2 linked regions of the Drosophila melanogaster genome follow. The protein of the gene in region 1 interacts with the protein of each later gene in a pairwise test. Each region holds a gene or a part of one and is shown on either strand. Other genes may lie near its edges.

Region 1 (7,230 bases):
ATACCTGCACTTTTTAAGGATTTTCGTACACTTTTCTCGGAAAGTTCGCCTCCACTTGTTGCCCACTGCGAACAAGTTCAACGGCCGGCGACGAGGCTAATAACTGGATTCAAGTGTGATGGCAGGTGGAAATCCGAGGGAGGGAAATGAAGCTTTTGCACCTGGTCTCAGTGCCAATCAACGGCTCAGTTATTGTCCGTATCGCCAGGTGGCAAAAGGAGTCTTTCTTTCCGGCAAAGCGCGGCTCATAAATGCCAGCGCACGCACACTCTTCGATTTTTGTTGCTGCCGTCGCCGACTGGCATCAATTAAATTCGAATTGTTGCAGTGTCTTCGATTGAGATGCCCGTCTCTTTCGCACTCGCCTGGCGCACAGCGGGCAATTTGCCAGGCGACGAATATCCCTCTTTGTGTCTCGCTCTTTTGCTCCTTAATTGCTTAGGTGTGTGTGCACTTGGAAAAATAAATTCTTGTCACAGTTACTTAAATGGAAATTAAGGAAAATATATATGTACTTAGTAATATATCAATAAATAAAATCTTAATTTCTGTTAAAACGTATGCAACTTGGAACGTGCATTTCCAAATAATTGATTTTCTTTTCTAGTGCATCCCAGTATGCCCATTTTCCATCAGTGCACCTTTCATCGTCTTTCTCCGTCTCGCCTGCGGTTGGCGCTTAACTTTTGCATATTTCGCAACAACATTACGGCCAGAACAACGAGTGCGGCTCAGCAGGCACGTGAATCCATTACGATGGCAGGCAATTATGTGCGTGTTCCACCCGCTCCGACCCACTGTATCTGCCCCACTGTCGTTGCTTGATAGTTGGGGCCATACGCAAATCAAAACAGTTTCCATCAGCAACAACAAAGCCAACCAGCCAGCCAGCCAGCCAGCCAGCCGGCCGCAGCAATAACAACAACAAGAGCTATGAAAAGCCACGAAATGGGTTTTTAATGCAAACGACTTTCCCTCCAATTGCACACGGCCAAGGTGAATGCTGAGGGCGCTAGCCGAGAAAAACCGACAAAAGTGTGGCCCAGACCACGAAAGGAAATTTCCTGGGCTGTGCGAAAATCTTTTGGGCCAGAGCTTTAAACGAGTTTTCTGAAAAAGGATAAGCGCACCTTATATGCAGCTTTAATAATAACAAATTTTTTGGTTAAATCGATTTAAATAAATTGATCGATCGATCGGAGTATCAAGTAATATTAAGTTCTTAAAGGAATAATATTCGGAGCATTTTATAAGGTCCAAGTATGTACAATGGATTGAAACGTATTCAAGTCTTTTGTTGTTCTTTAATTGACCTGAAATACAGAACAACAAATTCCTGTCCCATAAAATAAGCTGCATTTAGCGGATAATCATGTAAGTTATGGGTTCCGATTGGGAATCCCCATGGACTCCTTCGTGTGCGGTGTACCGCCATTTTGCCAAGAAATCCAATGTTTTGGTATGTTTAGAAGCGCAAGTCGTGGCAGCAACAAGCCGAATGGGCGTGCAAGTTGTCTGGCCGCCTGTCGCTCCACCTTTCCGACTGTCAGTCAGTTGGCCAGGTGGGTCGACAGTCGGCCTAGCCTAGCTTGGCCTGGCCTGGCCTGACTGGGCTGTTTTGGGCCTCGGTGAATTGGCCCAAAAGAGCTTTAAATAAACAAACTAATAACGCAAATCACGCGGGTGCGAGTGGGATGGCAAGCGAGCGGAATAGGGACAGCAACTGTCTTCCAAATGCACCGCATATAAGTGTTCTATGGCAACCGCGCCAGGCCAAAATCGAGAATGTATAACCCGAATAAACAAACTAATAAAATGGGCCCACATGCCCGAGCCAGCGAGTCCACGAATCCTGGCTCAGAGCTGCCACGGAGGCGACCAACAACACTCGAGGAGCACACAAATACCATACCTTTTATCTATATATCTATATATCTATACCCTCTGTACCGCAGAAGACTGAATACACCAATCGACAAAAGAAATCACCAAAAATCAACGAGAACTGAAGGGAAAAGCAGCTCAAGTGGAGCAGTCGCTCCCAATTCCATTCGAGGCACTCCCACTGTATCTATTTGTGTGTCCCCAAAAGGAACCAAACTAATCCATAATCCGTCGACCAGAGAGCTGAATGCAATTGCAAATTAGATAACCAGGACTGGGTTTTCGTCATTTCTGGGATTTACACATAGAACTGGGTGAGCAAATTTCAATTACTGCAAGGCAGTTGTAATTAAATAGCCTTTTTTCGGTTTTAAATTCAGCCCATTGGATTATACATATGAGGTTTGTTCTCTTGTAATTCTGTGAGAATGCAGACAATTTGGTATTTAATCATGAAATTCTTTTATGATTTAAATTCAATTTAAATTTATCATCTATCGAAGGATTACTATTTATTTACTTTATTGCCTGCTTATATATGTATATCTCTATAGGGATTGCAGATTATGCAACGAAAATAGTGTAATCTGCGCAAGGACCATCACAAATCCCCGTAACTATGTCCGGAGCTCTCCAGGAGTCGCTTGCCCGCATCGAACTATTATGAAACTCGAAGGTGGAAGGTGCCACACGCACGGCAACGGGCCAGGGGCAGGGCCAGGTGCCAGTCCAGGTGCAAGGCCAGGAGCCACCAAGGACAAAGCCAGCGACATCGGCGGCAACTCATGCCAGGCGCCGCCAGCTGATCTCCATGGCCAAATGCCGCGGTCGCTCCATACTCAACGATGAAACGCCCACGCCGGAAGCAGCCTGCCCTGCTCCCGGTCCTGCACCTGCTGCGACTCCGGCTGCAGCGAATCCCTTGCCGCACCCACAACAACAACAACTGCAACAACAACAGAACTACTTACCTCAAACATCTTTGCTGAAAATCGAACCGTTCGTTCCTAGTTTTAATCAAAGACTACGCCGGCGTCCTATTGGTCGCTCCCATAGCACCTTAAGCCACAACGTCATCTCCAAGCGACCAGTGCCGCAGCAGCATCAGCAGCAGCAAATCCAACAGCCATCGGAACTCCAAGTTGGCCAGCAGCAACAGTTGAAGCGAGGCTATGCCGCCGCAGCTCAAATCCGCCAACAGCAGCAGCAACAGCAACGGAATCTACCACGTGGCGTTGGCATCCAGCGACAGCGTTCCAAGTCCACATCCTCCTCGGCGGCCTCCAATAGCTGTCGCCCAGCCACAGCGGCTGTAACGCCCAATACCCTGGTAGGCAGCACCGGCGGAACTCTGGTTAGTGGAGCCATCGTTACGCCGCAACCAAATGGCATCTGTCGGATCCAGAGATTGCCCAAGGAGCGCGAGGAGCTGCCCGATCGAATTAACTATGACAAGAGAGGACTCACTGCGATTCCCATCTTTGAGCAGGAGCCCAATCTTCGACTGCTGTCGCTGCAGCACAACCTGATCAACACTTTTCACATACCCAAGGAGGTGACACCGCCGCCTCCACCAGTGCCTCCTCCTGCTGTCGCCACGCCACGGGAGAGTAACAATAATAAGCTGGGTGGTTTGTATCCTAGAAATTTAGAATTTAAAGAATAGCGCTTAGATCTCCAATTGATTCTTCTTCTTTTGCTCCTCTAGAATATAGCAACGGCAATGGAAACAAGGAGGGAGGACGCTCTGGCCTGCGTGGCCATCATCCAGGCAGACTTACCCGTGCCATGACCAATGCAGGTGGCAATTCCCATCGCCTATCGCCCAAGTCCGGCGGTAGTCCGGGCTCAGGCAGTCCACTGACAACTCAGGCATTGGCCATCAATGGAGGAACAGCCGCAGGGCGCTCCAAGTTGGCCAAGCGAGGCTACAACTACGGACAGGCACAATTGACGCCTCCACCGGCGTTACGCATGCGCTACGGATTGGAAAAATCCAAGAGCTTCGTGAGCAGCAGCCTCCAGGCAATGAAGCATCAGCAACAGCTCATCCAACGAAGGGCAATGCTCAAGGCAACCAGAGCCGGAGGAGTGGTCGCACCGGGTGGAGCCGCCAGCAATCTCCTCCAGAGCTGCGATGAGGGCAGTGCCCTGCACAATAGCAATCTCTCTCTGTACGGTGGGTGTGGTGAAGAGGAGGAGTCTCCCAGTGTGATGACCAGCATTTCTGCTTTAGAGCAGCTGAGCATCAAGAACAAGCAGTTGAGCTTAAGTGCCAGTTATGGGAGCATCTTTCAGCAGCTGGTATTTCTGGATCTCTATGATAACCAGATCGAGAGAATAGCGAACCTGGATGGACTACCTTCGCTTTCGGTGCTACTGCTGGGCAAGAACAGGATTACGGACATTGGTGGTCTGTCCTCGTTGAAGGATACACTAAGAGTGTTGGATCTGCATGGTAATAAACTCACCAGTCTGGGCAGTCGCATCAACTGCCTGCAGCAACTGAAATCATTGAATCTGGCGGGAAATCAAATTCGTCAGATAAATCAGCAGGATTTTCTTGGCCTGCGCTGCCTTAGGGAGTTGAACCTCAAGCGGAACAAGCTCCGGCGGATCAATGGATTCCAGCACCTGGTGGCTCTGGAAAGGCTTTGGTTATGTCACAACGATCTGCACAGAGTTGATGATATGGCCAGTATAGCCAGGGCCACCCGCCTCCTGGAAGTTACAATCGAGAACAATCCCGTCTCTCTCGCCGGCGATTGCGTATCCTTCTTGGTTTCGTACCTTCCACTGCTGCAAACCCTTAGTCAGATGCCCATCACGGAGCAGGTGCGTCGGGCGGCTCTTGCTTGGCGCCAGCACAAGGAACAGGCTCAAGCTGCTCCTGGAAGCTCCGAGGCTTACCACAACATCCGGCGTGAAGAGGTTATATCCAATGCCAGGACCAACTGGGAACTTCTGCGTTCCCAACAGACAGTGGTGGGTCGTCCCAAGAGCCGCCTTACCAGCGAGCTAGCCAAGATCAATGAGTCCAACGAAGGTCCGGCAGGTGAGGAGGGGGAAATGGAATCCGAGGAGTCGCAGCAGCCCAAGGAACTGATGGATGAACTCCAGGCACTGATTAAACTGCCGCCTATTGCGAAGGATCTAAGGAATCCACACGAAGAGGATGGCGCCTCCTCTGAGGCCTCTAGTCTAGGACCCAATGTTGACTCCTGCTCCAGTTGTTATAGCTCGGACAATGAGGACGGCGGCGCTAAAAATAAACCACAGACTCCGCAGATTGATGAAAACTCAAACAAGGTGGGCTTGACGGAAAAGCCACCATCATCGCCAGTTACAGTTGCAAGCCAATCTCCTGAAGTAGCCATAGTGACACCGTCAGCACCGGTGTCATCCTCACCTTCGCCGCCTGCACTGACCTTGACTCCACCAGCTGCCCCAGGCACTCCAGTGCCCGGCACCACGTCGCCTTCACCATCAACAACCATAATTTCCACCTTGCCTGTGCCCGCCACTGCATCCTCCAATGCAAGTCGTCCGACCAGCAGCAAACAGCGTTCCCGTCATGCACCCATCACACAATTGGGATTACAGATTAACCAGAGAGGAGGAGCAGCTGCTTCCTCCAAGCGGTACATGGCTGGTAGTCTGGTGCGTGCGCAAACCGTGAGCAGCAGCACCAGTAACAGCAGCAGTTCCAATAGTGCGGGTCGAGGAAAGGCCACCAACAATGGATTAAACTTGGTGGCGACTCAAACGAAAGCGGCAACGAGTGGTAACAACCAATCATCAGCAGGAGCGGCAGCTGGAACAGGAGGCTCCACAACAGCAGCGCCACCTGCAGGAGCAGCTGCAACTCCAAACGCAGCCATAACAGTGTCCAAGCCCAGCGCCGCTGAACGGGAGAGAGAACAAGGTGGCGATTACCTGATTGAAATATGCGGAAGGTACCTTAACATCTACGGCCAGGGAGCTCTCCGTTTCATCGATAAGCAGTGGAATCCGGCCAAGGCCAATGACGTGCACACGCTGAACTTCAGTTACATTAACTTCAACAGCATCGTATGTGTTCTGGGCAGGATTAAGCTGCGATTCCCTCACGCCGAGCACTACGTTTTCCGGGAAACAAACATCTCCTGTTTGGGTCAGCTTAATGGATTGGCGGAGCTCCAGGGGCTCAGCAGCTTGATGATCGATGCCGAGGGTAATGGCATTACGCTCAAGGAAACCTGGCGAGCATACGCCATCTACAGGCTATCACACTGGGGACTGAAGCAGCTAAATGGTCAGGAGGTAACCGAAGCGGAAGTGGAGGCTGCGAATGCCATGTACGTTGGACTCTCTGACCTGGTTCTGTGGTCCATGCCCGAGGTAATGCTGCAACCGCTTTTGGCGAGACTGCGTCTGGATGAAACCTGCACGGCCAGCAAACTGTCTCCTAAAGAGTGGCTCCTACGGCCGGACAACAAGTCCCTGCGACTCGTGGTGGGAAAAGAGGCACTCCAGTGGAAGAAGAACGCTGGTGGTGGAGCAGGAACTTCCACCTCAATGAATATAAATCAAGGGACGGAAGCGGGAAGCACTGCCATGGCGCCCAGTGTCCGAGATCGAGGTCGCCAGCACTTTGCCCTTCTGCTGGAGAACACTTGCAACGCCGTGGAGAAGCTGCATAAACTGGAAACTCTTTGGCCAAGTATGCTTCTTGATATCGTCCGAAATACGCTGCTGGATTACGCCCAGCTAGATGTCTACCTGCGGAATCTCATGTGCGAGCTGTTGAAGTGAGAGGCCGTTCCAACAAATGAAAATTTATGAAATTATTAGTCGATCTGGCTTTTAGATAGAGGCGCACAGGTAGAGCAACCATTATATTCCTATGATTCTAGGCATTTACCAATCCTGTAAAGCAGCTGCTTACAACTAGTCCAATTTTTATAAATATTTAACATTAAACATGATTAAAAAGTACCAATCTAGGATGGCGCCTTTCTGGCCAACACCGGAAATGCATTTGGGCAGGTTGAACCCACTCTCCTCCGTAATCCGTTCGGCTTAAGAACTATGATCGCAAGAATATCCTAAAAAGTAGCAACCAAACTTTTACTACTCAACTTTATCTATCCACTTTCACGATACTTTTTCCTTATCCTACGCCTGAGGCTGAGCTTCTGCATCATCGGTGGTCGGCGGCTTTTGCTTCATTTTCGCCTTATCCACATAGATATTCAGAATAGCCTCGATTCCCGGGTAAAGCACAAAATTGGTGGTGCGAATTTTCTTGTCAATTAGGTACGATGTCACCGATTCGGTGTTGAAGGCAATGTCGAGAGCATCACT
Region 2 (6,099 bases), on another chromosome or scaffold:
ATCGCATATGTCTCCTTTAAATCGGTAAATCGGCTCGGTTTCTTATAAGTTTACAAATCAAATTTGTTGCTCGCGAAAGTCATAGTTTTCAACTGATGATATCCTGCAATGATATATGAAACAGAGATGTCAGAAATGTGGCAGATCTAGATCTCAACTTAAAAACTTAGTAATATGGGGCTGAGTAATACGCAAAGAGTAAGCTTTTTTTGCCCTGTAAAGTATATATATGTATTTCTAATCAGCATGCAGTTTCGGGAGTAATTATGGTATATTTCAGGGATCCTCTTAACAAGTTAACAAGCTTTTTATTGTTATATTGCAATCTTTGTCAATGGATCTTTACATCTGGAACCTTTTCTCTCGACTTTATAACGCATATTCCATATTCTATTAAATTCCATAGTGACCGAAGCGTATAGTACGTAAAGAAAATTGATTAAATAATCAAGCAAATCCAACTGTGTGCGAAAGTATTATTGCATTGGCCAATAAATAAAGATTTACTGGGCACAGACTTACGAGGCTTTTATTTGTCAATGAGATTCAGTTTTAGGGGTCTTTAAAGATAACCGCCTGAGCGCAAATTTACTGAGAAATGCAAATATTAGGGAAACGGCATGAGTAATAAAATGGTTGAGTTTTCGGTTCGCCAACATAAAATTAATTTTTGGGCAGTTATTTTAGATTTGGATTTGCGTTTTTGTTAACTAGTGTAAGTTTAGCTGCGGATGCTGTAGCAAAACATTTTCGACACCTAACTAGACTTATACTATCATTCTGATCTATTATATTATACCAATGTGCGTTTTACATCTGTGTAGTTACAATACATTTGGGATAGTTTTTGATCTCCAATTTGAAACAAATAAATGCGTAAAATACAATGAATTCCTACAGATATCGTTGCAAAGACAGCACATAACGGTACATTTAGATGGCAGCAGTAAATGGATTCAAAATCATATGCAAACCTTACTGTGTAACTGTTTTCTTCATTTTTTTACAATATTTTTTAATATTAGACATTGATACTATATACGAATGTAGATATGTAAGTTGTGGAAGGCATCAGCATTTGTTTACTTCTAAAAACGCAGAAAACTGGGAATTTCAACAATGTCTGGTTGGATCCGGCTGCGTTATGACTGCACAATTTACAATGTCAAAGCCAAGCACTTAATAACCACACATATGCGGATGCCCAATGGTAAACTTCCATAAGTTTTTTTTAGACCTCAAATAAAAATAAAAGCACTCACCCTAAAATTCCCGAGTCAGTTTGGGTTGAACGGTGTGACCAGTCGACTGAAAGCGAAAAATGTACACTTCAAATTTTAAGCTGCAAACACTTGTCATGTAAGAGCTATTGTATATTTTGCCGAATAGGTTAAAGTTTTTGTATGCAACATAATATATTAGCAAAAGGACAATAGAAGAAATATATGCAACGTATAATAGTGATACATACATTGTAAAGTATCCGTTAATACACTGTTTCCACTTTTTAGGGCATTTCGATAATTACCGATAATTCTTCAAAAATATCCTGTAACGGCCTTACCTCAAATATTGATTTGTATTTTCTATTCTATTATTTAATATTTATCCTGTTAGCTTATGGTTGGCTTTTTCACATTTAAAGATCGATATGCTTGCGTTCGGCAATTTTCGCTTAGTGGATATAAAAGCGGAACGACTGGAATTTTTTCGCATATGAAACCTGTTATCCCACCGATCCCTATCTATATTTTAATATTTCAATATAAATAGTTTTGTTTCCGCGATAATTCAGCTAAAAAAAATTTTATCGATTGCATGCATTAAGTAACTGAAAAATTAACAACAAACTTTAATATAAAAAAAGCCCGGTACATGAGAATCATTTACTCAGAAACGCGTTTATGAAACGCTTGCAATTCCCAGCAATTATGCCTAACGCGTAGTTTAAATAACAATTGATTGCTACAGAAGCAGACAGCGCGAAAGACAATATTAAGTTTATAATTTAAATATAGCTTGAAGGCAGAGTTAAAAAAGGCAGATACTCAGCGCATAACGTGCAAATCGATTTGGCACTTTAATTTGCCGTTTATTTGTTTATAGTCTGTCAAAACAAACAGTTGTACATAAAAAAAGGAAATATAATCGCGCGCATGCAGCATTTCTGGTTAAAATAAACATTAATAAAGCAACGAATTGAATGGGACTCACGGACAACGATGAGGGATTGTAAATAGAGACATTGGTTAATGCCTGAAATGTACATATTTTTTTGTGTTGTGCACGATTTGATGCAAGAATAGTGTGTATTTTTAAACAAGACTCCGGCGCTGATACATTCATACATAGCTCACGCGCACAGGACATACAGTCCTAACATAAAATTCTCGTTCGTTTTCACGCCATCGCATCTATTGTGTTACATAGCGCCCAAAAAACGAGAAGTAAAGAACTATAATCAGCGAAGTTTCGGTTCCTTGGCAAACAAACAGGTATGTATTCAGATTCGCAGGGATGCGTACATGTATATAACGCGTACATTCAACTGTTTACATCCTTATTACTAAATATAGAAGTAATTCCAATTGTGCAAATCGCTAGTGGAGGTGTACATATGTATTTATGCAAGCGTGCGTATGTATGTGGGTACATAAAACATGGCAAGTGAAAATTCGCATGGTCTTCTCCTCAGTTTCACACTGAGGACATTATTTATTTGGACGATTATCAAATGTAAATAAGCATATACCTCTGCACCTGTATGTACGCTCGTGTGTTTGTATGTATGTATGTATATACAGTGGTCAACTGCTAAAAAGAAAGCAAATAAAAACTTAGGAATAACGTAACTGTCATGCAAAAACAATACAAAAAAGTGGAAAAGGGACAATGCTATTTTTAAACTCATATATTTGGCTAAAATATTCTTTCTTTTAATCCATTATTAAATGAAATGCAAATATTAATGCAATGCAAAAAAAAGAAGTATCTTTTTTTTTCATATATCAAAAATCAAACAAAAGGAGTTCATATAATATATATACTTAATATGCAATACAATATTTTTAAGGGAAACCTACTAGAATTATGATGTCACGAGAAAGATTCGGTCAAATTACTTGATCCTTATTCTTAGTTCATTCAAGAGAGTCGAATTTATGATATATTCGAATTATTGTCTATTGACGATAGTTATAATTTATCCTGGAATTTACCAACACTCTATTGCAGGATATACAAGGATCTTTAAATGAGCGATAGCTTCGTAAACTCAGGAGCACAGTAAAGGCGCGAACTATATTTTGAGTACGATGAGCGGCGCTACACAGGAATTTTGTGTACGCTGGAACAGCCATTTGGGCAGCATTGGAGCTGCTTTTCCGCAGCTGCTAGCAGGCCAGAGATTCGTGGATGTAACACTCGCATGCGAAGGCCAACAGGTGCACTGCCATCGTCTGGTGTTGGCCGCTTGTTCCACCTACTTTGAGGCAATACTAGCGGAGCATCCTTGCAAGCACCCGGTCATCATATTGCCCAGGGAGATCAAGCTATGGGAGATCCAGGCGCTTGTGGACTTCATGTACAAGGGAGAGGTCAATGTCACGCAAGCCGGTCTTGGCCAGTTGCTTCGCTGTGCCGAACAACTGCAGATTCGCGGTCTATACGGCTCTGAGGCACCGATAAACTACAAGAAACTCCAGCAGGCGAGTCTCGAGGCTGCTAAGGATCCAGCTGCAACCACAGCGCGAAGCTTCAAGCATGTGGACAGCGCGGAAACGGACGATGCAGCCACTAATTCAACCACCTCAACAACAATGACCACCTCCTCCGCTCCACCGCTACCGGTTAACCATCAGCAACCCACAGTATTGAAGCGCCAGAATCCCGATGCTCGGCAGCAGCAGCAACAGCAGCAGCAGCAGCAGGTGCAGCAGCGACCCCAGATAAATGGCAGTAATGCTCAACAGCCATCTAAGGCCACCTCTACGAACGTTTTGGGCAGCCACTCGAATGCACCAACCGAGGATGACTCCGGCGACGAGGTGCCGAACAATTGGAATGCCTACGGGGAGCAATTCGATGATTGCAATATATCTGCGCAAGCCGTTGACAACAAAATGAATGTCCACCTATCCCTGCAGCAGGCGAGGTTTGTTTTTGCATTAATATGACAAGTATCTCTGGATAAATATATATATCTTTTCACAGGATGCAAATGCAGCTTCAGCAGCAGCAATACTTGGATTCAAATGTTGAGGACGACCACAACTATGTGGCCGCTCATGATGAAAACAATGACAGCAGTTTTGCGACAGGAGTGCCATGCGGATCCGGGCTATCCCTCAGCCTTGACACTGATCTCGATACATCGGCCAATACTTCCGGAGGACTGAGCCATAGCTCGATCGATGGTTATACTTCATATAAGCGCGTTCGACGTTCAGAAGCATCTCTAGCACAAGCGGCCAAATGTGTTTCGAAGGGCGAGACATTCCAAACTGTCAGCAATATGTTCAATATTCCTGTCTCAACCATTCGTTTCTATATGGCGCGAAAAGGAATTCTTCCGAAGCGGAAACGTGGACGTGGTGCTTCCCATGCCGGAAACATAATAATCACAACAAACTCAGGAAAACTCTCAACCGTCCCAGCGAGCATAACTCATCCCCCAGCCCATCCGCATATCCACACCAATCCCCTTCCTCACACGCAGTCTCAGCAAATGTCCATGGACAGCCTACATCTCAAGGCGGGCATCGCAAATACCAGTGGCAGCAATAGTCCGGCAACTGCAACGGCAACGTCTATGTCACCATCATTTGATATGGCCACAACAGGTGATATTGTGCCTTTTCACCTCCATAGCGATGCGGCGGCATTCAAACTCAACGATCAGAAGCTGCACATGATCTAACCACGCAATTTGCCAAGTTGTGCTGTACTAGTAGGGCGTGTATTAATAGAGAGGGATTTCCAAGCAGTAGCTGCTTTCTTTCATTTCGGGGTACGCATCGGCTCGTGTGGGATCTTTAGTCATAACATAGTCAACAAAATACAATTTATACATAGGTTTACTTAATTACGCTTTGGAGATGCCACAGTTTTATCCTTGGTTGAAAAACTCTTGCCGTTCAATCATTATTCATTTTACTTTGGCAATCATAAGAAATTACAGTAGATGTATGCTATCAACAAGGATTATGACTAAAAACTTGCGTAAAAATTTCAATTATGTTTCTTGTCGCCCCAGTACTTTAAGGAATTACTGTATTGTTAATAAGATAAATAAAATCGACCTGGAAACTTTTACTGGGTATTCGTGTGATTGCAAAGATAAGATGAAAATTTATAATAAACTCGAAGGTCGTAAAAGACATAATCATAATGCTAACAGCTTAAACTAAATAATAATGTAAAGTAATTATTATTGGTCAAATACATCCGATCTATTTTAAAACCATGTACTTTTCCTACAAGAATACGCAAATCTTCAATACTTGCTTACAATTACTCGGTTTGTTTGTTTGCTTATTTTTTTTGGTCATTATAACAATTGGCCATAAATGCAAGAATCCCAATAATAAATTACGTTGTGAAAGTATTATTAAATACATAAGTACTGTGTACGAGATGATTGGGCAATAAAAGTTTAAATGCATTCAAAGTAACAACAATTTTTTTTTTGCTAAATTTATTATTTGAAATTTGTACTGTTACTGTCAATCATTTTTTTTTTATATTTGTACATATGTATGTAGATTAGCACAGTGCAGGCGCAGAATGTTGAAGTGGAAACGGCGCTTTTTGAATACTTCTCATAGAATCTATTTCTTTTCATGTTCAATCAACGGTCACACTGTAAGCCTAAGCCAGATATAAACATTCGCACGCGATTTTAATTCCATTTAAAGAACATGGCTCAAGAAAATCAAGCTGTCGACAATGGACTGCCCTGCAACGCTTACCTGGACACAAGCCTGCGAGAGGACGAAAACATGCAACACATCCTGAAAACCTTTTACAGCAGCATCGAACTCCTGGAAGCCGACACGGAGAAGGCACTGGCGCTACAGGCAGAACGCACATTGAACACAA

Evidence for each region.
Region 2: the proteins of CG13708 (region 1) and CG8924 interact in a two-hybrid assay, tested with the Drosophila melanogaster proteins (one large-scale study listed by BioGRID).

Annotation. Positions count from the first base shown.
Region 1 is NT_037436.4:4,828,540-4,835,769, reverse strand, and holds CG13708 (uncharacterized protein), read left to right. Parts: upstream 1-2,178; 5' UTR 2,179-2,198; intron 2,199-2,264; 5' UTR 2,265-2,695; coding exon 2,696-3,515; intron 3,516-3,592; coding exon 3,593-6,678; downstream 6,679-7,230. Other genes in the region: LeuRS-m (Leucyl-tRNA synthetase, mitochondrial), read right to left, coding at 7,042-7,230.
Region 2 is NC_004354.4:15,939,138-15,945,236, forward strand, and holds CG8924 (uncharacterized protein), read left to right. Parts: upstream 1-1,939; 5' UTR 1,940-2,495; intron 2,496-3,234; 5' UTR 3,235-3,314; coding exon 3,315-4,153; intron 4,154-4,212; coding exon 4,213-4,918; 3' UTR 4,919-5,312; downstream 5,313-6,099. Other genes in the region: Rrp47 (ribosomal RNA processing 47), read left to right, coding at 5,919-6,099.